Linked DNA regions of Oreochromis niloticus. The main gene of each other region encodes a partner of the protein of the gene in region 4 in a complex. Links are inferred from orthologs where the notes say so. Each region holds a gene or a part of one and is shown on either strand. Other genes may lie near its edges. The genes, in order: fgg, fga, serpind1 and f2.

What was found.
Region 1: the proteins of f2 (region 4) and fgg are in contact, whole or in part, in a crystal structure (PDB 2HWL), measured with the Homo sapiens proteins. The link is inferred for Oreochromis niloticus from reciprocal best matches to the Homo sapiens genes F2 and FGG. Residues at the interface, in NP_000497.1 of Homo sapiens: His450, Pro451, Arg452, Arg461, Arg486, Ala489, Ala490, Leu493, Ile530, Val531, Glu532, Arg533, Cys536, Asp546, Asn547, Met548, Phe549, Cys550, His605, Phe607, Arg608, Leu609, Lys610, Lys611, Trp612, Lys615; in NP_068656.2 of Homo sapiens: Pro439, Ala440, Glu441, Thr442, Glu443, Tyr444, Asp445, Ser446, Leu447, Tyr448.
Region 2: the proteins of f2 (region 4) and fga are in contact, whole or in part, in a crystal structure (PDB 2A45), measured with the Homo sapiens proteins. The link is inferred for Oreochromis niloticus from reciprocal best matches to the Homo sapiens genes F2 and FGA. Residues at the interface, in NP_000497.1 of Homo sapiens: Phe382, Lys384, Ser385, Gln387, Leu423, Arg425, Tyr434, Glu439, Lys440, Ile441, Ser442, Met443, Lys470; in NP_000499.1 of Homo sapiens: Trp52, Pro53, Phe54, Cys55, Ser56, Asp57, Glu58.
Region 3: the proteins of f2 (region 4) and serpind1 are in contact, whole or in part, in a crystal structure (PDB 1JMO), measured with the Homo sapiens proteins. The link is inferred for Oreochromis niloticus from reciprocal best matches to the Homo sapiens genes F2 and SERPIND1. Residues at the interface, in NP_000497.1 of Homo sapiens: Lys384, Ser385, Pro386, Gln387, Leu389, Leu390, Cys391, His406, Cys407, Tyr410, Pro412, Trp413, Asp414, Lys415, Leu423, Arg425, Ser430, Thr432, Arg433, Tyr434, Lys440, Ile441, Ser442, Met443, Asn458, Leu459, Lys470, Trp511, Ala513, Asn514; in NP_000176.2 of Homo sapiens: Glu75, Asp76, Asp77, Asp78, Tyr79, Leu80, Leu82, Ile85, Phe86, Asp89, Asp91, Val305, Glu306, Met307, Thr308, His309, Gln327, Asp343, His361, Lys362, Arg388, Thr457, Val458, Gly459, Phe460, Met461, Pro462, Leu463, Ser464, Thr465.

The regions. Positions count from the first base shown.
Region 1 is NC_031971.2:14,055,030-14,062,121, reverse strand, and holds the start of fgg (fibrinogen gamma chain), read left to right. Parts: upstream 1-4,080; 5' UTR 4,081-4,178; coding exon 4,179-4,241; intron 4,242-4,327; coding exon 4,328-4,375; intron 4,376-4,488; coding exon 4,489-4,675; intron 4,676-4,796; coding exon 4,797-4,881; intron 4,882-5,320; coding exon 5,321-5,451; intron 5,452-5,744; coding exon 5,745-5,878; intron 5,879-6,071; coding exon 6,072-6,256; intron 6,257-6,429; coding exon 6,430-6,707; intron 6,708-6,806; coding exon 6,807-6,991; 3' UTR 6,992-7,092. UniProt on the Homo sapiens protein: Together with fibrinogen alpha (FGA) and fibrinogen beta (FGB), polymerizes to form an insoluble fibrin matrix. Has a major function in hemostasis as one of the primary components of blood clots.
Region 2 is NC_031967.2:50,326,316-50,333,371, forward strand, and holds the start of fga (fibrinogen alpha chain), read right to left. Parts: upstream 2,916-7,056; 5' UTR 2,902-2,915; coding exon 2,851-2,901; intron 1,181-2,850; coding exon 1,079-1,180; intron 563-1,078; coding exon 379-562; intron 1-378. UniProt on the Homo sapiens protein: Cleaved by the protease thrombin to yield monomers which, together with fibrinogen beta (FGB) and fibrinogen gamma (FGG), polymerize to form an insoluble fibrin matrix. Fibrin has a major function in hemostasis as one of the primary components of blood clots.
Region 3 is NC_031977.2:26,090,352-26,097,291, reverse strand, and holds serpind1 (heparin cofactor 2), read left to right. Parts: upstream 1-3,919; 5' UTR 3,920-4,078; intron 4,079-4,243; 5' UTR 4,244-4,251; coding exon 4,252-4,511; intron 4,512-4,771; coding exon 4,772-5,415; intron 5,416-5,499; coding exon 5,500-5,648; intron 5,649-5,772; coding exon 5,773-5,897; intron 5,898-6,036; coding exon 6,037-6,181; intron 6,182-6,312; coding exon 6,313-6,504; 3' UTR 6,505-6,835; downstream 6,836-6,940. Other genes in the region: pi4kab (phosphatidylinositol 4-kinase, catalytic, alpha b), read right to left, coding at 616-735, 902-991, 1,252-1,335, 1,571-1,652, 1,741-1,865, 1,957-2,027, 2,115-2,197, 2,306-2,439 and 2 more. UniProt on the Homo sapiens protein: Thrombin inhibitor activated by the glycosaminoglycans, heparin or dermatan sulfate. In the presence of the latter, HC-II becomes the predominant thrombin inhibitor in place of antithrombin III (AT-III).
Region 4 is NC_031986.2:26,272,757-26,280,370, forward strand, and holds the start of f2 (prothrombin), read right to left. Parts: upstream 3,010-7,614; 5' UTR 2,925-3,009; coding exon 2,852-2,924; intron 2,187-2,851; coding exon 2,106-2,186; intron 1,646-2,105; coding exon 1,566-1,645; intron 1,478-1,565; coding exon 1,453-1,477; intron 1-1,452. UniProt on the Homo sapiens protein: Thrombin, which cleaves bonds after Arg and Lys, converts fibrinogen to fibrin and activates factors V, VII, VIII, XIII, and, in complex with thrombomodulin, protein C. Functions in blood homeostasis, inflammation and wound healing.

The DNA.
Region 1 (7,092 bases), on a different chromosome or scaffold from region 4:
CGTATATACAGCAGACAAACACAGGTAGTTGCATTATTAACATAAAAAGTTTACTTCCACAAAAACACACCAGCAGAACCAAATAAAGTCTGTGTGAATTACGCTGACTGCAAATCTGCTACATTTCCTGATATTAGAAGAATTACTGATGATGATAATGTACTTTTTACACATTAGTTTGTGATATGTGGACAACAAAGTGTCAGTGTCCCCGCATGTGTTACTGCAGATCACACCACCTTCAGCTGAGGCGACTTAACCGCGCGCGGCCGCAGGTTGAACCCGAATGTGGCCAAACCGCAAACCTTTGCCCTCCATCCTGGGGAGATTTACGCCACGGTCAAACAGCTCCAGAATTATAGTTGTGACCGCTGAAGCATCCAAACAAGGCTCTTTAAATTTAATTCCTGGTCAGACGACCTGTGAACTATGCTGACTTTGTTTTTCAGCTTTGGTGCTTAAGTTGATTACTGACAGAAGGACGTATTTTCTTAAGATGTGGAATGTGAATGTTTTCATTTTAAAGAAAACTGCATTTATTCTGCATAATATTCTTTGGACCTATTTCCAGAGTATGCACAGTCTTTATAAAGAAAACTAAAAACTTGCTTTTTTTGGTTGCTTTGCATCCTGATAACGTGCGACAGTGTAAGAATGTCAGTCGGGCATGAGTGTGTGAACGCATCGACAACAGCCCAAAACACATCTAAACATCCTGAACCCGGTGTTTAGAGAGCGTGCTCGTGTCTTCATGGCACTTAAAGAAAGAAAGAGGCACTTTCCATCTGGTGTCGCTAGAAAGTTCAGCAAAAGTTCAACACTGTTTAGGTTCATGGGCCTGGCAGTTCATTCTCAGGTCAGCGAGGCTTTATATCCATCCTGGGCCTGTTTTTTTCCACATAATAAAACCTGGTCACACAAAGGTAGTCAAGGTTTATCATTTAATGTCAACATGGGGCCCACAGATCAACCATTATTAAGCTATATTAAGTCACATGTATCTTTAGTGTTTGTTCTGTTGTAATAAAAAGAGGTGTGTTTGCTCACAGCACCTTGAAGAGATGGCCACGGAAAAACAATTTTCAGCAGCTACACCTATTTAAAACTACACAGCATCTTTGGAAGGATCTGTTTACTTACTCGTGTCTGCTTATTTGATTTTTCCACCATACTCTGAAATTATAGCAGTGAAGTCTGCAAACAATTTGACAGTAGAAATAAAAGTCAGTTCATTCATAAAAAGACAGTAGAGGCACTTTCAAACTCATCTGCCTCATGAGAGCATGTTTCCTGTAACTGTGACTCAAACAAGCAGAGCAGCATGAAACTGGAGCCTTGTGATGAGCTGAATTGGTGCTTTTACTGGGCACACACAAAATTGCATTAGTGCATGCATTTTTACCTGTAGTTTAGTTTAATATTAACTGTATTGTCTCGCTCTCTGTTAGTGGGGGTTAGCTTAACCCTCCATGGTATGATCCATGATCCATCCAACTGATCCTTAAAATTTCATTTCATCTTTTTTAATTTAATGGCACAAGACTATTCAGTAAAATGAGGCACAGAAGAGAGTTTGACCTTTGACCCAGGGATGAAGAGATCCTTCCGGGAGCCAAATCCGGATTGGACGTAATGCCAGCTGCTTTTAAGACTAGTGTCTCCTTTATCTCTTTAAATTGAAATAAACATATTAAAAATATGCATGTACAGAAATATATATTTTTTTAAATGTTAAAGTATTTAAAGAAGTAAGACACACTTTGATTTAACTTATTTACCAAAACAGCATTGTTGTAGGTCATTTTCTACAACATTATGCAGTTACATTACAATAATGTTTTGTTTCTAAACTCTGGTCCTTGGAACTGCTTGTTTTAGGTGTTTAGGTGCTTCTATGCCCCCACAGCACTTGATTTAAGTGATTTAATACCCACCTGATCATTTGACGTGTATGAGCAGGGATTACAGTCACGTTCCCAGAGCATTGTGTAATGGCATATATAAGCTGGCAGCATGAACTTGTAGAGAAATGGGTAGAGGATATTAGCTAATTTGATGATTGCTTTGTCAACAGGGAACCCCAAGGGTGAAATTCATGTGATAGAGTAGTATAAAGGCTAGTATAAAATTCCTCATGATGTATGCATGTATCAGTATGTGTATTTTTATGTATGCAGTAGTTAGCAAGAAGGCTTGGGGCTCAAATGCACTGGATTCATGCTTCACTAACTCAGTTAGCTGTTATTTCCCAACACCATAATAAAGGTCAAAAGCCCTCTGGGCCTGTGGACACTGTGGAGTAAAGCTGAATATGTGTTCATGTATTGTCTTATGGGTATTAAACAACTAAGTACTATTGATAAATACAATAAAAGTTCCCTCAGAAACACAGAAGACACGGAAGTCATAGAATCATCTAGAAAATTACATGTGCATTCATGATGAGATTACTTCAGATGGACTGAATAGGACTATATGTCCCTCTAAAATAAAGCAACTTTATAAAATGTTTTATAATGCATTCATCTACAACAAAGCTGTTGTTATTTACATTGACTTGTCCATGAAATTGAAATTAGCCCCTGACAAAGAGTGCTCCAGTTACTCATTAATCATATCTGAGTTTTCTTTGACCACACGCCACAGTTTGGGGTTTTTTCTTTGCTCTTTCATGTTGGTCTGTATTTGCTTCAGTTCAGCTCCAGCTCAGTCAACAATAACGCAGCAGCACATGTGCTCCTTATAAATTAAGCCTGTAACTTAGCTGCTTTGTTTTCCTAGAAAAGTAGATTTTTCCTGCAGAATTAAGGAAGAGGATCGTTAGTGTTCCCCTGCATACATACAGACTGCAAAGTCCACAGGGATTATTCCACTATGATTCTTTCCAACAGCATTTTGTTCACAGACACTTTGTAACAGAAACTTGTTTTCATGAAACTTCAGTAAGGCAAAGCTTACTTCAGTGCTGTCTAATGTAGCTTATTTTCAAAGATTTAGATAGTTCAGAAAATTGTGTTATTGTTGTGTCCCAAGTTTTCTGTTCTTGCTCAGCAACAACAAAAAAATAACCGTTTAAAAGTCAGTTCACTGCATCAGACTGAATCCTGCTAAAGTCTTCAGTTTGTTGGTGTGTTTGGTGTCCTGTATGTGTCTTGTGGGGTCTATTGTGATTCCACTCCCACTAGTGGTTGGTTTTACATGCCTGTGCAGTCAACTTTCAAAATAAAAGTTTCAAAGTATCACAGCCTGCCCTGTTACACTAAAACAGTTTGTCTAGTAAACATATTTTAGCGACATTATAAAGCCTGGTGGATTCACTACAGAAAGGTTTTAAAGCTGTTTGCATTCAGTGATGGCTTTACAAGCAGGCTGCGCGATGTAGTTATGATGAAGGCATTTCCTGCTTTATACCATGACCGTATCATCACATGTCAGAAACCACAGATAACTACTTTGCTAGGGTTAGGGGACCCTTGTTAGGATAGTAAAGAATAGTAATAATTTTAGCCGGCTGACTGAGAATCAAAGTCATCATTAAATAAAATTACTGTTGTCGGGAGAAAAGTCTCATTCAGGCAAGTCTGAATTAAGCAAGCCAAAGTCAGTAATCATCATAATGATTTATTAATGTGTGCTGTTAATAATTGTAATTGTTCATCAGTCTAAAATATAAAAACAATGTGTTTAATCCTGTTTTTGTTCACAGGAACATATTATGGCATTTTTTCAAGGAATGCTTGTTGTCTGTGTTTTATCAAGCAAAGTTTAAGAAAAGTAAATAAACTATGTTACAATCTGAACTCTTGGCTAGAGCGAGCTCAATTGCGCTGGTTTCCAAATTCAATAATACTGTCAGGTCTTAAAGTGCGAGTCACGATTTCTTCCAACTTGTTGACAGCTTTACCATCATCAGAGTTTACAAAGACGTACAGTACATGGCAATCTCATAGAAGTGTCCTTTACCACAGCTATCAGTTGCAGACCGCATCAACTCCTGGCAATGATGTCTGTTGGACATTTGAGTCATGGGATTTTCACAACAAAGTGAGTGGGATTGTTTACCTATGAACCCCTTATCAAAGTCTGGACTGAGGACCTTGTTCAGATAAATAACCAACAGAGTCGAGCTTCTCTTCATTCTCCAACAAGACGAAAACACAACTGGCGGCCAAAGCAACATGGCTCCATCACTTCTTACAACAGCAGGAGGACTTTTGTTACTTTTCTCCTTCTCGTCAGCAGTAAGTCACTGAGCACTCTTGCAGTTTTGCTGATGTAGTTTTATTGAGCATAAAAATTATATTTATTGTTCCTTTTTTTTGTGCAGCAAATCCGAGGAGACAACATACAAGAATGCACCCCCAATGATGGCTTTGTAAGTGCGCAACTTTAAATCAAAGCTTCTTCCAGTATGGATTCTATTATTATAAAAGCACACCATCATAAAGAGTTTTGTTTGTTTTGTTGACATGCTCCATCTGTGTTTAGGGAAAATACTGTCCAACCACATGTGGAGTTGCTGATTACATGCAAAGATATACAGAAATGGTGGACCACGATTTGGACCAGTTGCTAAGGGAACTGGAAACAATTGCCAATTTGACTCGAGGGGCTGAAGAAACAATTACTTACATGAAAGATACAACTGTGGCACATCAAAAGAGCTCTGACCCAGGTAACGCAGTTATTTTGTGACGTTTAATCATCTTAACACTTACATTAATGCGATCAGGTTGAACAGCATATTGATGCGAAATCGAGAATACAGTCAAACCGGCTCATTTTTTCCATTTCAGACGTGCATTTCAAAAAGTCAACAAGTATCCTGGATGATGTTGTTCGGTTTGAGAAGACCATAATTGCTCAAGAACAGCAAATATTGTAAGTTACCTTACCAAAAGTTCAATGCATACTCTTACAACAGTTAGTTACTCCACTGCATTTAGTTACAATGCTCGTTTGTTGATTGATTTTTTTAAATCAACGACATATAAATTATTCTTTTTTTAATATAATGTGTTGTTGCTGAATAAACATGAACTTCTGTCAGGTTCTCAATGTGAAGATGCAAAACACAAAACTCTAAAGGAAGCTTGAAACTGAATTTCTATACATAGCAGCATCAGTGTCCACCTATTCCCACAGTTCAGTGTACTCAGGAGACATTTGTTACCCACACTACGTCCCTAAAAATCTATTGACCTTATACGTTAAATTAGATCTTTGTATAAGTTCAGGTTCATACTTAGGATTCATCTCAGCTTTTTATCTGTGTATAAAACCAAGGTACAGCTCATAGACTGTAATCCTCTCTTTCCAGTGAACTTCAGAACGTAATCTCCTCCAATGAGAGAAGAATGGCAGACTTGAAACAGCTCTCGAATCAGCTGCAGCAGAAATGCAATGAGCCCTGCAGAGACACAGTTGAGATCCAACCCACCACAGGAACAGGTAAAAAAAGAAGAAGAAGAAGAAATAATATGACCTCTAGGTTATTTCTGTTTCACAAGAAGTTTCTCAATCTTGTCTCATCTGAACAACATTTGTTGTCTTTCAGCATTTAGTCACAGGCTAAAATCAATATGCTGCTTCAGAGCAGAGCAAACATTTATCCTAGATGTAATGTCCTGTGACCTTTTGTAGTGGATGTGATTACATAATTATTTACCCAACTTAGAAAATATTCCGGTTTTTGTGTTTCATAATAGGCTGCTCATTTTTAAAAAATATGTTTTTCTAATCAGACTGCCAGGACGTTGCAAACAAGGGCGCCACCACCAGCGGTCTTTACTATGTGAAGCCATTAAAATCAACGGAGCAGTTCCTGGTCTATTGTGAGATTGACAGCTTTGGACGTGGCTTCACAGTAATACAAAGAGTACGTATCATTGATCTTACACTTAGTGATTCCTGTGTATTTTATCTATTTTAATTAATCTTTACATTTATGTAAAATTAAATATTCACTACAATTTTCATTAAGTCATGAAGGCATTAAATCATGTTTTGTTAACTAAGTGGTGAAACCACCCAATAAACTGATGACTCTGATCACGCCTTCCTGCCTACAGAGACGTGATGGCAGTCTGGACTTCCACAAGAACTGGGTCCAGTACAAGGAGGGCTTCGGTTATCTCTCACCAGATGACACCACAGAGTTCTGGTTAGGTAACGAGAAGATTCACGCGCTCACTACCAGCACCAACTTCCCCACTGTGCTCAGGATAGAGCTTGTTGACTGGGAGGGCAACAAAAGGTACACACACACACACACATGATAACAGATTATGTAAGAAAGGGACTTGTGGACAAGGCAAACATGACCGCTCTAGTAGCGAGGTTACCTTAGAGGAAGAAAAGAGATGATTCAACAGTTGTTACCACAAACTAACTTTAGATCCACGATTCTCTGTGGCCGTATTTCTCCAGGTATGCCGACTATAACATGTTCAGAGTGGGGCCAGAGATCGACATGTACCGGATGACCTATGGTTTCTACTTCGGTGGAGATGCAGGAGATGCATTTGATGGTTTTGACTTTGGAGATGACCCCAGCGACAAGTTCTACACAGCACACAACGGCATGCAGTTCAGCACCTTTGACAAGGACAACGACAAGTACGACGGCAACTGTGCTCAGCAGGACGGCTCTGGGTGGTGGATGAACAGATGTCATGCTGCACATTTGAATGGAAAATACTACCAGGGTAAGACCCTCCTGGCTAAAAGCAGCCACAGTTAGCATAAACAGAGACAAAAGTACTAATTAATGTGAGCTCTAAACTGTTTGCATTATCTTTATGCAGGTGGCAGGTACACTGAAAAGGATGCTGGTGAATTTGGCTTCGACAACGGCATCATTTGGGTCACGTGGCACAACCGCTGGTACTCCCTGAAAGAGACCACCATGAAGCTCATTCCCCTCAGTCGCATCACAGCAGGAGGACAGCAGGCTGGAGTCAAACAGTTTGGTGGACTTGGAGACGCTTAAAAAAAGGGACCAGGTTTTTGTTATGCTCTCACTAACAGCCCTGAAAACTCCTTAGATTAAATAAAATGCCTCCATGGAAACTTACTGACTTTTTGTTTTTC
Region 2 (7,056 bases), on a different chromosome or scaffold from region 4:
GAAAACAGGAAACATTTAGTTTAATAAATGGATGGACTGATTCTTACTTTTGTTTAAACACATTTTTTCAGCTGTCCAGAGATGGGAGGGTTCTGCTGGATATAAATAATTGAGATAATACTGGGAATAAAACAACATGATGGCTTCCACAAACTGGTGCGCACTCCCATGTCCCATTTCTTTCTATTAAATATCTTTTAAATATGACTGGATACACCTTTAAAGCTGCTTGTTAGGGTTGCACTTTTGATCAGTTTATGCAGATATTTATTTAACTGTGAAACAACTTCCAGGTATCCTATAACCACCTAGACTGGGTTCCTGTAACCATTAAACTCTTGACTGGGAAACAGAAGAAGTGCACAAAGCCACACTAACCAGCGTCAGTGGTTAGCTTTTCTTTCAAGTAGTCGTAGGTCTGTTTCGACACCGTATCAGCGGAGCGATGTTTGGCCTTGTTTTGATCCAGCAGGCTGCGGATTTTCTCAATCTTCTTCAGCATATTGTGATCGTATTTCTCCATCAGACCCTGGATCCTGCAGCCTGATGGACATTTAGGGCCCTAATGGATGACCAAAGAGAAGACATAATTATTCCTTATTTCTGTGTCACATAAAAATCAGAGTCATTTAAATACAGAACAACAGGTTATTATAATAATTGGCAGTACAACCAGAGGCACAAAAGCTCCAGTCTGGCCCGGATTGTACATTCTGTAGTGTATTTTCACAAGTTTAACAGTTTTTCCTACCCATAAAGACCTCCCTCATGGTCATTCACAATATACCAGTTATTATAGATTTCTGTCATTTTAAGCATTAATTCTTGCAATCGGCTCGTGCTGACAGATTTCCTTCACTTGTTATAGCAGCATCTCTTTACCATATATAAACACTAAGACATAATTTTGAAATCTTATCGATTAAGTACATAGTTAGACTTTTGCACTGACAGAAACTGGAATTTCCCCAGTCCAGCTTTCTTGTAAACATTGAATCTTAAAATTGCACACATTCATTGAGGTCAATAAGAACTTTGCCTAGCTTGAGCTCTGAGAGACAACAGGGAATCTGCATACCCATTCAACGTCTGTGCAGAAAGGCCATTCCTTCTCAGTGGCACATTTTTCACTTCTGGTGCCGTGCTCCACTGGACGACCTCCCCTGGGATCAATCTGGGCCTAGACGAAGACAAGAAAGTCAACATTGTTTTAGTTAGGGCAGAAAACATAGCTATTGTCTCTGGGTTGTTCGTGGTGTACAATGTATTTTTGAGGGGTGACTATGCACATATAGTTGCAAACAAAGAGTCTTTGTGACAGAGCCGCTATTTTAGTCCATTTGGTCTACAACAATGACTTTTACAATGAAACCCTACTTAAACAAAACCCTGGTTAAAGGCTTGGTGATACATACTGAACTTCTTTGATAAATCTAACTAAAAATCTTAAAAACAGATGCTGCACATCAAACATGTACATTATAACACGTATAACCAATTTCAACTGAACTGCTCAAATTAGGAGGTGTTTCTTTGGAATAATACTAGTGACTAAAAATACTTAAATTGTTTGCTTCTTACCCACAAATAAAGATTTTATTAATAATATTTATAAAGTAAAATACACAATTACAATAATTATATAAGCAGAAATACTTTTCAAATTTATTTATTGCAAATTTATTTTGAAATGTACTCAATTTTATACTGTTATTAGTACATAATTATTTTTCTTATCATCCTCCTAGGACCCTGGGGTGGCTGTGGCTCAGGTGGTAGAGCAGATAAACTACTGATTGGAAGGTTGGTGGTTTGATTCCTGGCTGCCTCAGTCTGCATGCCAAATATCCTTGAAAAGATACTAACCCCAAGATGCGTTCATCGGAGTGTGAATGTGTGTGAATGCTTATTAGTTGCACTTGTGTTTAGAAGTGCTTGTATGAATGGGTGAATGAGGCATGTTGTATAGAGCGCTTTGAGTACTCCGGGAGAGTAGAAAAGCGTTATTTAAGAATCAGTCCATTTACCTGGCGTCCACATATGTGGACATCACATTTTGGGTTATTTAGACCAAAATACTCAATTTTGCTCTACAAGGGCCTGATATTCACTTACGAGGACATTATGCTGCTACTGTTCTATCGAAATTTTAAATGAATATCCTCATATGTGGCTCTCATTTTTCATTTTGGTAATTCTTTGTTTTTACATTCATCGGGCCCCAATATGCTCAAATATCAAAGAGAAATTAAAAATGCATGCTGTGGAAAAGTTCGGGTCTTAGGAGGTTAAATATTACATACAAAAATTTTTAGGTCAGTAGTAGTTAATCAGTCTGCAGTATTTAACTAACTGGCTTTAAATAATATATATATAAAAACTGTAAGTATAAATGAAGCTCTGTTTTGTTAGGTCTGCTAAGTTACACATCCTTTATTTGAATTGTTAAAACAGCTAAAGATAGTGACTGTTTCTTTGATTGATCAGTATTCAGCATTCTACTCAAGCCAACGTCCACAACTTCTAAATCTTTTGTTACTATATTCATATAAATCAACAATAATAATAATAATAATAATTACCAGAAATATATCTAATAAACTTAGGTAGTAAAATAAAAGAGTAAATAATGAATAAGACAGTGCGCTCGACATCTTTATAAATAGAACAGCCAAATGCTATGTTCATGTATTCATATCAGTAAATAATAAACATATGAGTGATCAGTAAATACATAATTATTCTTGTTATTTATTAAACAACACAGTACATACACTAAAATGACAAAAAAAAAAAAAATTTCAGTGCCACATCTTTGTAAAATTATTTAAAAACATCAGAGAAACTCACCAGTGTTGAGGACACACATATCAGACACAAAAGGAAACAGAGTCGCTCCATCGTTGCCGTTTCTGTCACTCGCTCTCTGTGTGAAGAGTTGTTGCTGAATGATTTTCTAACGCTGCTCTCTGATCATTTGAAGCCTCCAGGTTCAATTTCACAAACCGGTGAGTCATCAGCAAACACTGGTCAGGTCAGATCAGAGTTGAGCAACAGCTTCTAATCGATGTGTTTGTTGTACTGTGTGTATCTTTACTCAAAAATAATGCATTCAAACACACACACTAAAGTCAAACATGCTGCCTACTCAGTTCAGTTGCAGCAGGATTTCTTGTCAGTTCCTGTACATTTTACACCAACCAAATAGTGACAAACACCAACGACACTAACATTGACTCAACTGAACTCAATCAGAAAAGGGCAACAAAAACATTAGAGGATTTTAAAATGATGGAACAGAGTTTCTATTTACTCCCATTTTACAGCATTACCGTGGGTTTTGTTAAAATATAAATGAATCTCTCTGTATTATTATTACATGCGTCAGTAAAATGTCATTTATTTACCTTTCAATACAAAGATAACAAAATGCTTCACAAAAAAACACCAGAGAATAAAAAAGTTAACTACATACAGGTAAAAAACAATGCAATGATAAAATGTATAACAATTTTTAAATAACAATAATGATTTAGCTTCTCAAGTTAAGGTGTACGTGTATAAGCCGCTTAGCTAAAGCTTCATATTTTTATTCTCTTTCTAAGGTAAACCATTAGGTAAATGTATATAAAATCAATCTAATCATAAATACTTTGTCACCAAAGACTTTATATTAAAAATGGTTGGTGTCTCCAGATCTTAAAAGTCCATTCTTTTAAATGTGTATATGCTGCTCCTTTGTTGGCATTCACACTATGAAACTTGAGTGGATGTAGCCACCATTGCTTTTACACGTCAACATGAGGCTTCTGGCTGCACCCATGTTGGATTTTAAGACCCAGACGTTATGTTTTCTGGATAAAAGTGTGGAGTGCTAAGTTAGCAGCTTGCTACTTATGAACTGAACAGGTCAAATGCAGAGATGCATATCAGCTAATTAGTGCTTAGCATCACAAAATAAAACTTTGGGAATTTCAATCACCAGAACTGAAGCACAAATCTATTTGTACCATAGGATACTACTTTAGTTATAAAGCGCTTTTTTTTTGTAATTAAAGTCTTTATTTGTTTTTAACCTTTAACCACATACAAACAAAAACAAAACAACAAACCAAACAACAACAGGAAAAAAAAAAAAAAAGACAGCTTCCAATCCCATGGTTGGGATCAGTACACACACAAAAAAAGGACAATACAATCAAATTCTTAAGTTATTCCGTTACTGAGTGCCTACACAAACATACAACATAGCAAGCATAAAATTTAACTAAAGATAATTGTCCTGACCAAATAAATTTCAACCATCTCAGCCAAAAACACGTCCCCATGATTTGTCAAAACCCTCCCTATCATCATTAATCCTAGCCAAGAATTTTTCATACGACACCATTTTCAGCATATTTTCTTTCCACCTATTATATTCTGGAGGAGATGGCTCCTTCCATACACTGAGAATAACTTGGGCCGCTGCAATTACCCCCACCTTTATAACCACAAAGTCATATTTTGAAACCCCAGGCAACGCCGACCGATCCCCTAATAAGCACAGTCTTGGTGACAAGGGTATTATTAAACCAATCCACCTTCCTATTTTGTCCAATACTTTTTGCCAGAAGGGATAAACTTTCCCACATTCCCAAATAGCATGCATAAATGTCCCTGGATCTGAACTACATTTCCAGCATATATTACTGGGACTGATTCCCATTCTATAAAGTTTGGACGGAGTGAAGTACCATCTGTGTATTAATTTGTACTGAGTAAATTTACCCCTGGCCTCTCTTATATATTTATCAGAGAATGACAAAATTCTACACCAATCTTCTTTAGAAATTGCACAACTCAAATCTCTCTGCCATATAATCCTCAAGTTTTCACATATCTCTTTTTTTAGATTGTTAAACAGTTTGTAGAAAACAGCTGCTCTATGTGCTGTACTGGACAATTCTAAAAACTCCACCACCATATTTGTGCTTTGAGTAAATTTTCCTTTGGTAATACAATCCCTTATTTGTAAATATTTCCAAAAATTATTTTCTCCTATCAAACCATATTTTTGGGTTATTTCAGCGAATGACATAAACACTCCCCCTGAGTAAAGATCACTTATCCTGTGTATGCCTTTGACAAGCCATTCCTTCCAGAACACCATTTTTCTCCCAATCTGTACAGCAGTGTTGTTCCATAGCGAGGTATAAGGTTGTCTTAAATAAGAGGCTCCACACATCTTGTGCACCTCTACCCAGACAGCTTTAGAATACCCGAGCACTGGGTTATTATGAAAGTCTTGTCCATTAATTGCTGAGCCCTGTGAGAGAACATCCAAGGGTGTAAAAGGGCTCACTAGTTCCTGTTCAATCTTCATCCAGCTCAGCTCAGAGTCCGAACCTGTCCAGTGCTTGGCCAGTCTTGACATTTCAAAAGCTAAATTATACAACTTCACATTTGGGAGGGCCATTCCCCCAATGTCTTTAGCGGCCCACATTTTTTTTTATATTCACTCTTGGCTTAGTTATAAAGCGCTTTTAAAAACAACAACCAGCCTGACCAAAGCGCTGCACATTAACACCAAATATAAGGAACATCAATATTTATCAAATCAAAAACAAAGCGATACAGTAATGTTGTGGGGATGGAGCTGGATTCCCTTAAGGTGGTGTCGGAGAGGCGGATGTTGTCCAAGATAAAGACAATGTTGGATAATTCCTCCCACCCACTCCATGACATGACATGCTGGTCAGTCACAGGAGCACGTTCAGTGAGAGACTTGGCTGCGTTCACACCGAACGCGATAGAGGCGAGCGAAAACGCCCTAAACGCCCCTAATTTGACGCGTGCACATTCGCACCTCAACGCGTGTCCAAGAAAAACCCATCGCGCCTCAAAATTGCATCTTTCCACGCGCGTGGACCGGAAATGTGGGAGGAAGTTGTGCCAGATGTGTTGTGCTGCAGATGTCCTCTGAATAAACACATTATCTTGTTAGCGGAAAGGTATTTGTACATCAGTGGGAAAATAGCGGGACAGTAGGCGGGCTTGCTAGCTTTTGCGCGGCTTTATCGGGTCAGTCTGAAAATTAAAAAGGAGAATGAATGAACTTACCAGGTTGCCCGATCTCCTCACTTCTGTGCCTCCAAGCTCGGTCCTTTTTATTCCTGTCTCGGTAGAAGTAGCAGCTGGCATCATACAGCTCTGGGTGATTAGCCACGGCAGTGATGAGTTTTTCCTCCATACGGAATGAAGAATGAAGAGCTTTGGTTTGATCTGCCCCTGTGACCTGGTTACAGCCACGTCACCGGCCTCCTGATTGGTTGTCGGGGCGCGATTTGACGCCGGAGTTCATATTTTCCAACTCCAGCGGTTGGCGCGGTATGGGCGTGTGCACAAAATGCAGCACACAATCTGACACGCGTGGTTTTCTTCGCGAGTCAAACGCGCCCCACGCGGTACACTGACGCGCGTTTCACGGGTTTTGGCGTTTTCGCGACGCAAATCTGCTTCCGCATGTTCGCCGGATGCGCAATCGCGTGTCATCGCGCTCTTTCCATTGACTTTACATGTACACCTGACGCTCTGGCCGCCTCTATCGCGTTCGGTGTGTGCGCACCGTAAGCACCACTGAACGACACAGGAAATCATTCCTGCCTGTGGCCATCTCCCTGTACAACTCCTCCAACTAATACACTGTAAACACTGCAATAGCTACGTCCTTTTTACACACGCTCTTTTCTACTCAGTAATGTTGCTGACAATATTCTTGATATTTATTTGTAATTAGGGATGGGTACCGGTGTCCGGTTCTGACATAAACGGTAATAACCAGACCGAAAAGCAGCGCACATTTCGGTGCTTTTTTTTTCCTGAGCCAATTCTAGCCAATCATTTTACGTTTCTGAGGATAGTAGGCGGGGCCAGGTACGTACGTTCTTTTAGAGCAGAGCTACAGATTAAAAATGCCCAAGGCGAAACGGTCAAAAGTCTGGCTGTACTTCACAGCAAAAGATGCAAACTCGGCAGCCTGCAACAAGTGCTTTAAGCCAGCGGTCCCCAACCTTT
Region 3 (6,940 bases), on a different chromosome or scaffold from region 4:
CAAAATAATGTCACACAGACTAGTAAGCATGCACACGTGAACATAGACTTCTACAAATTTTTTAAAGAGCTACAAAATAAAACACACAAGCTATATGTGCACAACAAAAAAAACAACACGAAACTTTTTCTGAATACAAACAAAAAGCCAACGTCTTTGGCAAAGCTGCTAAATTGCACATGGCATGTTAAAAAGCACTTTATGTTGGACAGTTGTTAATGAGCATTCAATCAACAAACCTGGGAGGCCATTTGGAATTAAACATTCTTAGTTTGCAGTTTGTTCCAAGTACAGTATGTTACCAAAATGCTCTTGCTCTTGTCATCTACTGCCCTCTAAGTATTCTGACTACATACATCTTTGGTAAAACCGTATCTTTGCACTAATTTGCATCTAAACTATATATAAAAAAATACCGTATTGGTTTAGTGAACGTTATCTTTCTGCAGAATTGCTAAAATGCAGTAGATTCTATCTCACCATCAGTTTGGCTCATTTTGTCTAAATTTATCTTGACATTTAATCGGGGGTTAAATCCAATATTTACAGTATGATAACTGCGGTGATCGGAAGGATTTGTGTGAAGCCATGGATGGAAGTGTATCTGTGACTCACGCCTAGTGTAGTACTCTGTCTGTTGTAGCCTGCAAAGTGAAGTATGCTCTCTGTGGCCATTGCAAGGCCAGTGTGCTGTGACAGTCCTGACACCCAGATCTGATGCTTGTTCAGATACTCCTGCAAGAAAAATCCAAATAACAGATATGACAAGAATCATTTACAGTCACTTATGCCTTGTTTACTCAAAGTAAACACTCCTTTTCAAAACAGGTAAAAGTTAATTGCTTGCTTAAAATAAATTAATAGAGGCCATCTATTAAATAAAAACGTAAAAGAAACGAACCTGTAGGTGAGACTTTGTGACCGAAGGAGCCCATTTCATTGCTTCTTTCAGGATCTCACCACAGCGAGCAGCAAAGTCTTTTACTATGCTCTAAAAGGAGTTGGGAAATAAAGACATAGTGCTACTTTACTAAGAACAAGAGTGGCGGACAATCACTGAGTAAAATAAATTGTAGCACAAACTAAATGCCATTTGTTTATTTAATTCCTACAGTTTTTTCAAGAGCCCAAACCTCAGTCCACCATTATAATACAGTTTACACTTAAAAAAGAACTCTCTCCCTACTATTGTTGAAGCCCATGCTATGCTGCCCTCTAGTGGTCAGAAGTGTAATAACAGGCCAAACTCACCTCTCTGGCTTCATATGTGTCAGGAACAGTGATCCTGTATGGGGTGTCGGGAATGTCATAGTATGGCTGGTCCTTGTGAATGTCCTAAAGTAAAGGAGAATACATTTTGTTCACATGAAGTCTATATTTGCATCTATTTAAACACTTCTATGAGATCTCATCAGTTTCCACAAAAACAACTTAAAACCTCTTTTATTCGACCACAGCACAGCGACTTGCTGACTCTGCATTATGTTATCGGTACAGGGACCGAGAACCAGGCACTCAAACAAAGAACCTGGCACTTTGTCTATCACATCAAGCCTCTCCTCATACTCACAGCACTTAGTGACAGAGAGAGTGTCTGCAGAATATCCAACATGGTCTTCAACACACGACCGCTCCAGAGTAGATGAGGGAATCTGGTTCAGATAGAAGGACATAAAAACGCTTAGAAAAAATGATAAGCGAGGAAAAAGCAGACAAGGTAACTAAATGATTTCTACTCACGTCTCAGCCAAACCAGAGAGGTATTTGTCTGCTACTCTGCGGATCCTCTTGTGGGTATGATTGAAGTTCACCAACAAGAATTGGGCATGACGCTCTAATTCCTCTTCGTGTTCTTTGGTCTTTGCCTGAAAGCATAAGAAACAAAATGATTTTTTAAAATCTGAACTAATTAAATTTTGCAAGCTCCACATATTTTACTATTTAAATGCCCCCTACCTTCTCAGCCATCATCTGAAGGAAAACATCAAATACCTTGTCGCCAACACAAATGATGCACTGCATCATGCCTGCAAAAAAGGAAAACTGAGAAAATGGGCTCCATATATTAAAAAGACAACAGGATGATTAAATTGATTCGGGCACAAAGCTCTCACCAGATTTGTCTTTCTGGATTGCTTTGTCTTCAAAGTATCGAAACATGACCTGGAACCTATCAGGATCATTGGACCGCAGCATCCTGAGAGAGATAACAGGAGGAAATTACATTTTTGCACATTTTGACCTCACTTAAGCAATCAAAGGTGAGAAAAGACAAGGAAATTAAGCTCATGCCAATAGAGCTGACCTCATGTATTCTAATCGGTAGACGGAGAGCAGGTATGTGGACATGGCAAAGTCTAGCTTGTTAATGAGGGCAGACCCTTCAGGAGGTGGGTCAAGGAGATTGCTGATGGTTGACCGCAGTTCACTTAACTCTGCCTGGAGGAAAAAAAGATTTGAACACCTAAATATTAATTCTGGTATTCCTTTAATTAAAAAAAAACAAATCAAAACTATTTTGAACACTGTACCGGGGTGACGGTGTCGTTTTTCAGAGCTGAGTTGTACTGTAGCTCAGACCGCAGAGGTTCTCCACTGGGGAAGGTGAGAAGAGGAGACTTGGTAGCAATCTCACACACACCTTCATACCACTCCTCTGGCCAAAGCCCTAAAAAGACAAAAGATATTTCAAGAAATATCCACATATCAACACAGCCATGGCAGATGTACCAGGAAAAAAAAAAACAACCTTTCTTCAAAATAAGCTGAATCCATTTTGAACAGAATTTGGAACGTTTCTTTTATTTTTAGATATTACTTAATTTAACATCTATTACTGATCAATTTCGCTGATTTATCCTCAAAGTTTGTGCAACAACTTTGTTTTCAGAATACTTTATTAATCTCTAAGGAAATTATATACAATCATGTTTAATAATTTCACTGTAAGCCAACAATTTCATTCTAAATTATAACTGTTAATGTATTTCTTTTAATAACTTCTGACTACTATGTACTACTGACTATGCATCTATTACCTTTCCCTTCTAGATCTTGTTAAATTCTACTCAGTTCTTCACTCCTTGCAAAGTTAATTGAGCTAACCACTCCACATACCCCTGGCTACTGCAGAAGCACCTCCTAGTACTTCTGGTTAGACACTGACACAGACCTATGAATCTTATGTTTATGGTGAATCTTAAAATTAAATTAGGTTTGTGACAATTGATCTATCTTTATATTTTTGGTGTAAAATCTTCATGATTATTATATTTCTTGTAATTCTGCTCGTACAAGTCTAAGCAAACAACTACATGATCTATGTTTTACAAATGAAAGCCACAGATGCCTTGAGATTCCAAAACATCAGTGCTGAACACGGCAAGGAGCCTCATCATGGGAGGAGCTTAACCCCATAAATGCCAACTCATGGCACGAAGCTTTGAATATCACTTCACATTCATGTGATAGGATATGGTGCTCAACCATTCTTCTGTATGCAAAGCATATGAAAATTACTTAATTCTTTGCTTACCTGATCCTTCCACAGCGAAACCCATGACCACTGAGTACAACCAGAAGTCCCTAAACAGCTTCTGGAGGCGGGGCTTGGCCTCTTTGATTGGTGGAAGCCTCCTGGTCAACTATGAGTCAAAAAAAGTCAGACAAGACAGATAATTGCTCTAAATCAATAACTGTTATTGCTTAAATCAATAATTTTATGCAAAAAGTGAATATAAAAAACAAAATACTGGTACTCCCTTTGAGTACAAAAGGTTATTACACACTGGATATTATGCATACTAACAAAATGTAAGGCTTACAAATAAATTAAAAGCTGCAAACAATGTGTTACTGAACTACAGGACATTTAACTGTTAGTAAAATATATTCTTAACAAGTGAGCAGAATGGTGAAGAGTTAAAGGTTGGAGTCAGTCACAGGACGTTTTGGTCTGTTTGATCTGGTTTATTTGTTCAAGAGAAGCCCACATCAAAGTTCAGTGGTGTATTCAATTCTTTGCTCTTAGTCCTACAAACAGAAGCAACAGAAGGCTTTACACCACGACCCAGTAAAGGTAAGACATTACCGTTATTACAGACAAACTGCTGTTTTCTTTTAAAAACTAGGTTAAATTTTTCAACAGCAAGGAAATTATTTCATATCTACAGATTTTTAAGCATCTAATTGAATCAGATCTATTTAAAGTGGTCGTGCTAAATATGCATTTCCTCTGCCTCAGCCATTAGGATGTGGGTCATCACTCTCATCTCAGCAGTCTGTCTGCTGGCTAGTCCATCTCTGGCTGGAATCAAAGATCTCAGCTCTCACTTCAGTGACCCCAAACCGGACCCCAGAGGCTTCGAAGCAGATGGCACAGTGGACATAGAGTCCCTACCCTTGGAGTACCACAAGGAAAACACTGTCACTAATGACCTATTTGATGGCTTTGAGGATGAAGATTATATTGACTTTGATAAGATCCTAGCAGCAGGCAGTGATGACTACATGTGAGTATTAGTGAATTTTTTTACTGGGGTGGATTGTTTAAATATGTTTTTGTAAAAATACGTAAAGTGTATATTAACTAAAGTTCGTTTACAACATAAACACTTGTACGCTTGTGATATTTTTCTTGGTAGTGTTGATGATGTAACTGTGTATATGTGTATACACATCAACTATGGGACACATGTACAAACCACAATAAACAGTTACTTATTACTCTACTTTTAAATGGTTAGATGATGAATCTAAACATGTCTTTCAGTGAAGGGGATGAGGTCGATGAGATTGCCACACCAGCCCCCGACATTGACATCTTTGCCGAACCCTCTGACCCAAAGATTCGCCGTGCCAGACTTCTGCGACTGTTCCACGGTCGTTCTCGCCTTCAGCGCCTCAACATGGTGAATGGCCGTTTTGGCTTTAACCTCTATCGAAGTCTTCGAAACAACGTCAACCAAACTGACAACATCCTGCTAGCACCCGCTGGGATCTCCATTGCCATGGGGATGATGTCTTTAGGTGCGAGATCTGAAACCCATGATCAGATCTACAAAGTTCTGGGATTCGCTGAGTTTGTCAACGCCAGTCATCACTATGACAACACAACAGTGCACAAGCTTTTCAGGAAGCTGACACACAGGCTCTTCAGGAGGAAGTTTGGCTACACATTGCGCTCTGTAAATGATGTCTACGTCAAGAACAGCATCTCTGTGAAAGACACTTTCCGGGCAGAGACAAAGAATTACTATTTTGCAGAGCCTCAGTCAGTGGACTTCAGAGACCCTGCCTTTCTGGCTAAGGCAAACCAGCGCATACAAAAGCTCACTAAAGGGCTGATTCGGGAACCGCTGAAGAGTGTGGATCCAAATATGGTGCTGATGCTGCTTAACTACCTGTACTTCAAAGGTGAGAGAAAAAAATATGACATGCTTTCAAAAGACCCCTATGATTTCAACATGGCTGTTTGACTTTATTTGTTTGACTAAACAGGAACTTGGGAGCAAAAATTCCCTAAAGAAATGACTCACTATCGCAACTTCAGAGTTAATGAAAAAACAAATGTACGTGTGCCAATGATGACAAACAAGGGGAACTATCTAGCTGCTGCCGATCATGAATTAGACTGTGATGTCCTACAGGTGGGTGGCCACATACTGATTCAATGCTGAGTGCCAATCTTCAACAAAAATGTTCTCACAAACAGGGACGCGTAAACAGTTTAACCTAACAGCACCACAAAAAGATCAAATTTCCTTTTTTCAGCTCCCATACACAGGAAACATCAGCATGCTCATCGCCTTGCCAAGGAAGCTCACTGGCATGAGGTCCTTGGAGCAGGAGATCTCTCCCACTGTCGTCAATAAGTGGCTCAAAAACATGACAAACAGGTCAGCAGCTGAGTCACTAAAGTTTTTCAGTAGAGGATCTTTTAAAGCTACTGGTTTATGGGGAAAAGTGGAAAAAAAGTTTGGATATTGTTGCGATTTAAAATGATTCAACTATGACAAACTTCTATGTCCCCTTCAGGACACGTGAGATTGTGCTACCTCGGTTTAAACTGGAGCAAAACTATGACTTGATTGAAAACCTGAAGAAGATGGGCCTCACTGGCGTGTTTGAGGAGACTGCAGATTTCTCTGGCATGACCTCTGAAAGAGTTTCCATGAACTGGGTGAGTAATAGCAAATCGCTGACAAATGATCATGATCTGTGATCCATTCAGTCACCTGGACATCTTATTAACAGCATACAATACTTCCTGCTGTTTCAAAGTAATGTACAGATTCTGATTTCTCTCTGTAGCTGAAGCACCAAGGAATCATCACTGTGAATGAAGAGGGAACAGAAGCTGCTGCTCTGACTCAGGTGGGCTTCATGCCGCTCTCCTCTCAAATTCGCTTCGTCGTCGATCACCCCTTCCTCTTCCTGATCTACGAGCACCGCACGGACTGCCTCGTGTTCATGGGCCGGGTGGCCAATCCCTCCCAGAGCTAAACAAAAAGTTGTGTTGCACAGCTAAACTATTCATGACAAGCCTGCTTAGAATGACCGACTAGATTTGGCTGATTTTAGAAGTTGACATCAAGTAAAGAATATTTCATGCGAGTATAGCCTCCAACTGAACATTTAAAGTTCTCCCTTACATAACTCAAAGCACAGAGTGTCTCTGAATAACTCAATAAATGCTTATCTGTCTGTTAATGTTTTATCTTCTGCAATGACACTAATGTAGAAGCGTGCTCAGAAAACAGAATTTTGAAAATGTTCTTACTCTAAGGCTGAAGTGAAACAGTCACTTCTGTGAATAAAGCTTAATCTTGTAAAAAAATTTTTTTTTTTTCAACAAAGGGGGTGCTCTAAAAAAGAAAATTTCAACTTTACTATTTAAATATTTAATGTGTTAAGACCTAAAACTATTACTATTAATGGA
Region 4 (7,614 bases):
GTAAAGCACCTTAACATTGGTTGCCAACCAAGAAGAAGAAGAAGCTGTGAGCCAGGAGGGAGGGGGTGAGTGAGTGGGCATTTATCAATATGCGTACTTGTGCGTACTTGCGTTCTCGTGTACTCGTGATACGTCATCAGTCGGAGACCAAGCCGAGAACGCGAAAAAGTCCCGGATGTGTTCTCGATCCGCCCGTTTTATCGAGCATGCATCGGTGTGGACTTGGGACAGCTAAATATCCCAGAATGCATTTCGTCCAAAACTCAACAGCGGACTCCCGGCACATCGTTTTCAACCCCCCCCCACCACCCACTTCTCACTACTCAGGTTAAAGAAACCCCAGCAGCTGTCTATAGTATTGAGTGTCCACTAGAATAGAAATAAAAGCGTTCTAACATCTCACCTGGTTGTTTTTATTAAGGTATGTACACGTATGTACATGTACACTATTTTTATTAATAGAGGTTTCACTACTGAGGTTAAAAATGATATATAAGTCACTTAGATCACTTCTAAATGTTAATGTTTGGTTTATTTCAGTGTTTTATTTGTTCCTGAGTAAACCGGTTTGGCTGTGATTACAGTTAAGCTTCATAACATGTTACTCACAGTTAAATTAAGAGGGGACGGCAGTAAAAACTCCGGACCTGTGACATCATCACGTACGCAGGTGTTCCAATTGTACAAATCGCGAGTCCGTGCTCGCGTTCTCGGCGGGTACGTACTCCCGTGCGTTCTCGGCGAGTACATACTCACCGAGAACGCGAGTACGTACTCGCGTACTTGGGCATTGATAAACGGCCAGTGAGTGATTCGTAACAGGAAGGGAGGGGGTGAGTGAGTCAGTGATTCGTTCAACTCGTTTGAGCTGTGAGCCAGGAGGGAGGGGGTTAGTGAGTCCTGAGTGATTCGCTTATGCTATGATTCAGCACAGCAAGGGAGGGGGTGAGTAACTCAAATGTGCTGTTAGCATGCTAGCTGAACGATGCTACTGTGAACCGAGGAGCTATTGTCTTGATGTGAGCTTCTACTCAGGGTTTTTTCTTCCAGTTCAGAGCAGAAATGTTTTTGTTAGGAAACTGGATGTTGTTTTTTTCCCCACAATTTTAATTATAAGCTAGATATATTTCTACTAATGGAATTAGTTTGCTAACAGCAACAATGATGAGTCAGTGAGTCAGTTGCGCTTGTGAATCATGATTCACGAGTCAGTAAAGTGATTCTCGAGTATTGAACGATTCGTTCACGAATCGAACATCACTAACTGAATGACTTTGGAACTGTTGTTTCTACAAAACAAGAAAATTGAAGAAAGAAATGTTTTTCTTGTTTAATATAATAAAATATAGTTATGGAAAATATAGTTTCCCTGTAATAAAAAAAAAAAAAATCATACCTATACGTATCTCTTAGTATCAAATATATATGATGTTTAAATGCAGTATATCTCACCCAGGTATTTGCTCCAGAATTTTTCCTGTAGGAAGAGAGATTGTTGTGCAGTTAGACTTTGAACTGTCTCAGAACTGTTAAAGCTTCTGACGCAGAGAGAAGTAAAGACATACTGCTTCAACTGGCTGCATGAACACCTCTCCGGCTTCATTGTGGTCACAGATTTCCTCCACACACTCTCTCTCCAGGTTCCCTGATATGAAATAATCCACATTAACACACTGTAATCGTGACAGTATCATGAGACACAAACATAGAGAGCACCTGTAAAACATGTTAGGGTCATTTTGTGTCACTTCACAGTTGTTTGTTGTCTTTGTTTGGCTCTTTTTGGTTCTTTTTGATTTACTTTCCAAAATTAATGCTAACATTTAGCAGTCTCTGCCCACCTCCTGTCAACAAAGACTCAAAGCTAATATTGTTCCAAACCTGCAGCGCATGCTAAAGTAAGTGATTACAATTGAATCTGAAGTAGATACGAAAGGGAGAGAAATGAACCTGCTCCCTGTACAAACATTTATTTTAATCAAGGAGATTTTACGAGTGTTTCTTTTAAGTGTTGTTCAGTTCAGTAGACACATCATCATATGAATGGTCAAGATGTCGAACAATAGTGGATGTAATAATGAGGAGAAAAGCTGCTGTGTGGTCACCTGCTTTCAGCTCCTCAAACATCTGATTGGCTCGTCTGTTCCGGACCAAAACCTGTGATGCGAGGTGGCTGCTGAGAAAAACTACAACAAAGATGGAAAATCAGTTAAACCCTTCCAGCATCACCAACACTCAGCCTCCAGTTTAATTTAAAATCTGTTCTGTAGTCACACAAATGATCAAATGCAAGATGACCTGGGACTGTTGAGCAGCTAGAACCCTCTATCAGACAAAAATGGGACAAAGTACCTCTTTCAAAATCACATCAGCTGCTCTCCTCATCCCTGATGTTTACATACAGTTGATAAAGGAGAGGAGAGCTATACACAGGTAAACACAGGCCTTTCAGATGTGCTGCTGCCATCAAATTCAACATGAGGTACGGTTTTTGAAATAGTACATTTACTCAGCGTAAACATTTCACATGTTTTCTAAGTTCCATTTTTTGATCAAATATATTTTTGTCTGTTTGAATATAAACTTTTTGGGATTGGATTTACACAAAAATGCATTCTGTGGTCCCACAAAATGCATTTTTCTACTTTTTTTTCTTTCTAATATCAGTGAAGATTTTATCATATTCAAATGGCACAATATGCATTATAGATGAATTGCTACGTATATACATACATGTACATACACATATTCATATCAAAGTACAATTTTGATCTAGATTATTCATATTACTGTTATTGTACACATTGCAAATACCCTTGATCCTACATTAAAGAGGAAAGGAGTTCATTACCATGGTTTGCTACACAGCTGTGCAGGAGAAACAGCAGCAGAACAGCAGCAGGTTTTGATGTTGGTTCCATCATGATCCAGACCTCTGAGCAGAACCTCAGAACCAGATCCAGCAGTACTCAGAGTACTTTGTTTGTCCGTCTCTGTCTCTCTGTCCGTCCTCTGGAGGGGGGGGGATTATGGACCAAAGGGTCAAAGTTTGAGCCAGACTGATAAGTCGGTTTTCTCAACAACTCGAGTCCTACTGTGAGTTAATACTGCTGTAGTTTAACACAACGGCTCTGAAACTATACATGAATTATTGTTTGGTATTAAAACATATGAGATTCATATGGCAAGTCACAATTTACAAAATAACAAGTCCCTAAAAAAATCTTAAAATGTCTTGATTTGGCCTGTACCATCTTTGGGACATTTCTTACATTCGAACACCTGCAGTGTTTTTGATCGTTTAATAATAATAAAACCAGTTGTTCTGGTCTTTCATTACAGGCGAAAGCTATCACCTGGCAGTAGATAGATTCAGTTATCATAGTCTTGGGTTCCTGAAGTCAGCGAAAAGATCCATCGTTCTGTCCAAACCCATCATACACAAAAATTATTCAACATTTAAAATAAGATTTTTTTTAAAATGTTAGGTCAAGTTCATTATTGGAGATGACACAAACCCTACCCCTATGGGCTGATTTGGTTTTCTCTAAAACACAAGTATGGAGTTAGGCATCACCACCCACAGTTAATATGCACCAATGTGTTAGGGCTACAATGGCTTTTTGTTTTGGCCATGTGCTCAATAAGCAACACTAGATGTTACATTTCAAATAAATACTCAAATTTTGACATCAGACTTTCATTTGGGTGTGGAAATGGCCCTTAGCTCTTTCACCTCCAGTAAGTCAATTTTTCAACCATAGCAGGACATCAAGAAAAGACCACCATCAATTGTTTTCAACGTCTGATGATTGGTGACTGGAGATCAGTTGAAAGTCATATCTCTCACCAACAGGGACAGTCTCCAACCCTTCTCAGAACCTCAATATGTCAAGCAGTTAAGAAAATGGCTGGATGTTCAGTTTGCAGTAACAGTGATTTAGAAGGAATTCGTGTAATTCCATGATCCCATCAGAAGGTGCAATTTGTACTGCTGTCAAAGATTTGCTGTTATAATCTGTGTGAAACTACAGCTTGGAGTACATACACACACTGCCATTACTATTTAGTCCCACACCTAAAGATAAAGCAGCAGCCATATTAGGAGGATTTTAAAGCAAAAAAGCTTTGGCTGCTGTTCTCTTTTGAAAAAAAAAATACTATGGCAGCTTATTGCTAATGTTTGTTTGTTTTTCAGAGTTCTGAGTTTTTCTCCGTGTCTTCTTTTAAGTCACATATAGTCAGTGAGGTGTCATTCTGAAGCCCAAACCCAGGATAAAGAGGTTCAGTGAATGTGGTGTTGAAGGTGTGAATGTGATTGAGGCTGTCAGAAGAGACTCTGTAGAAGGACAGAGTGCCAGCAGCAGCATCCACATACACTGCTACTCTGTTAGAGACAGAGGATGAGGAGGGGAGACGAATGAATGTTACACTGTTGTTGTGGCACAAAGAGTAACCATCATGAAAGTAGCCCAGACACCAGGACTGATCATTCCTTCCAAGCCATGAGTGGTTTTTGTCTCCTTTCCTTCTGATTCCTTTATAACTCACGGCAATATCAACCCTTCCTCTCCACTCGACCTCCCAGTAACAACGACCAGTCAGACCATTGTTACACAACAGCTGAGGACGGTCAAATCTGTCTGGATGATCAGGATATGACTGATCCTCTTTCAGATGGGTTACCTTCCTGTTGTTGTCAGATAGTTGGAGTTTTCTGTTTACTGTGTTTGTGTCGATTGTGAGTTGACAGGAATCTGATGGAGAAAAAGACGCAGCTGCTGTTAAGCTGTCTTTTAACATTTATCTGATTAGGTACATTTTGTAAATTGCCTGCTTCAGGAGAAAGTGGGTAGTTGTGCCAACTGGCATAAGTCATCCAACTGGTTGTTTAAAGAAGTGATGCTGACATTCTGGAAAATGCTGGGTGACCACGGAACTGATCAAAAACAGAATACAGAGTTCCCTCGTTTATTGCGGGAGTTACGTTCTAAAAATAACCCACGATAGGTGAAATCTGAAAAGTAGCCAGCCTTATTTTTTTACAATTACTATAGATGTTTAAGGCTGTAAAACCCCTCACTACACACTTTATACACTTTTCTTAGACAGGCGTGAACATTTTCACATTTTTCTCTCTTGATTAAACTCTCTCAAAGTTCAAACCTTCGTAGAAAAATAAGTCCGGTGTTATAGAATGAAACCAAAGATGAAACCCTCTTTTCAGGTCAAGAACATGGAAATAGAGCAGCTGCGAGAGAATTCAACATTAATGAATCAATGGTACAGAAGTAGAGGAAGCAATAGGAATCTGGTGTGCCTTATGATCCAAAAATATGGTAACTTCTACCTTCTTATAGAATGTCCAGAAGTCCAACTTTTTGTGCGATGGTTAGCGTCATCCTCTGGCTTTTGGGTGCTACCACAGGTGCCTTTGATGGTGCAAAACGTTTTGTCTACATTGTTGTGTTTGTTGGAGAAAACGTACAAACATACAGTACAGCACTTCAGAGGTACACTGCTAGCGATCGAAGATTTATGTAAATTTGACAAGCTGAACGCTTTCTGTACTGTATTGTTTTCTTCCTGTGTATCTATTGGTGTTCCTGTTGCTGCCTGTACCTGTTGATGCTGTTATCTGCAGACAGATTCTCACTGATATCATTCTTGTGTTGTGGAAGTTTTTCCACTTAAATAAAGCCTGCAGATGAGCGGTGAGCGGTAGCTAACATTCTTTGTTGTGGAAGTTTTTCCACTTAAATAAAGCCTGCAGATGAGCGGTGAGCGGTAGCTAACATTCTTTAATCAAAGCACACAAAGAACAGAAAACCAAGCTTGGTGGAGAGCCTGCATGACCACGGGGCAGGGTCAGCAGAGTCTCACTGAGAGTAGGGTGGCTCTCACTTAAATACCTTCTCCAGGAACAAAAGGCAGTACACAGATGTTTCACACCTTAAGATTCACCACTCCCTGGAAGAGACAAAAGACTCTTCCTGTGGAGTTGTCTGCTTCCCCCAACTTCCTAACTAGACCCCCACCATTTGTCTTACAGTATGGGTGTCAGACATGTTAAAATCCAGTGGCACCAAGGCATTACAATAAAATAATGTGATTAATACATAAGTGAAAGAAATTCCTTTACAATCCCACCCTTTGATTCTCAAATCAAGAATCACATTAAAACCAGAATTTCTTTCCCAACATTCTGTATATTACATCAACATTATTTTACACTTAAAGGAGTTTCACACTGTGTATCCTAACTTCACTGTTCTCCCACCACCCTTTGTTCATCTTTAATCTTCCCCCCAATCTAAGCTCTCACATGCAAATGGCAACAACAATGATACAGAGGAAAGGTCTTCTCCAGAGTGTCAAAGTACTTTGCATGGCAAAGTGAAAAAGCATTGGATGGTCATTCCCAGTCCCAGTCATGGCTCCTGGTGTCTGTGCCGTTTACAGAGTCATAATTCCAACGCTGATCTCCCTCTGTGCTGTCACTTTTGGAGCTTGGCACGCTCTCTTCATCCCTCGATGTCTGTTCCAACGCAGCTGTAGATTTAAGGCAGAGCACGTCGTACACCTTAGTTGTCTTCCTCAACGTCAACGGCGAAACTCTTTCATTTTATTTTAAGATTTTTGCTGTTCAAAATCTCCTCGTGACAATCTTTTGGAAGCCCAGTGGTGCAGCCCACTGTCGTTTGTCTGCTGTCCTGCAGATGGTCCCTGCTTCTCACTGGTCCTCTTGAAGCGTTCTCTCCCGGTCGTGGTCTGTATCTGCGTCAGTCCTTCCATATCCCTCATGTCACGGTCTCTGCAATTTAAAAATGAAAGCTTCCACGGAAAACCCTCTTTTGCCCTATGTCAGCTTAGCACAATTAGACATGCACAATGAAGTTGTGCATTGTCTCTTAAAATTTCCCAGGGATTCTCCTCTGGAGTAGTTTCACTCCAGGCCCTGTCTTAAGAAAAGGTAAAACATTAGCCAGCGGTGTGTCCTGCTGTAAATCATGTGATTAGATCATATGATTAACCCTCTGCTGTGGAAAAATAGATGTTAGCGTAGCGCATCTGTATGCACACTTTCTCACAGTGACCTCTGCACTGTAAGCAATACAAGGTCATGAATAACACACCGCTGGTAAATTCAAAGACACAGAAAGTGACAATTAAAAGGTTAAACCAGCATGGCCCAAAAGCCCCTACAACCTGTTGCTGTCACCTTTCTGCTCCTGTAAAAGAAACATACATACATCCACCCTTTTGTCAGGTCAAGGTGGAGGTGCAATCTTGCATACTGGTGTCAAGTCAGCCAAAGCTTTTGTCAGTCCAGTCAGTCCCCATTTTTATTTGCTGACAGTAGAACCTCGTGACGCAATAAGTTTCTACTGCCAGCAATGACGTCATTTCAAAAAAGAAAAAAGAATTTAGACTGGATTACCTCGCTGAATCCTTTTTGACAGGGACTTGTTTTCTGATTGTCCCAAATAAGTGGCTTTCTCCCGAGCCCATTTTAATTTTTGGAGAAACTCACTTGCAATTGTTCAACATGTTGTGTAGCGCTTTCGATCCCGATCTTGCAGGCGTGCTTCAAAAGAGAAAATTGCCAAACAA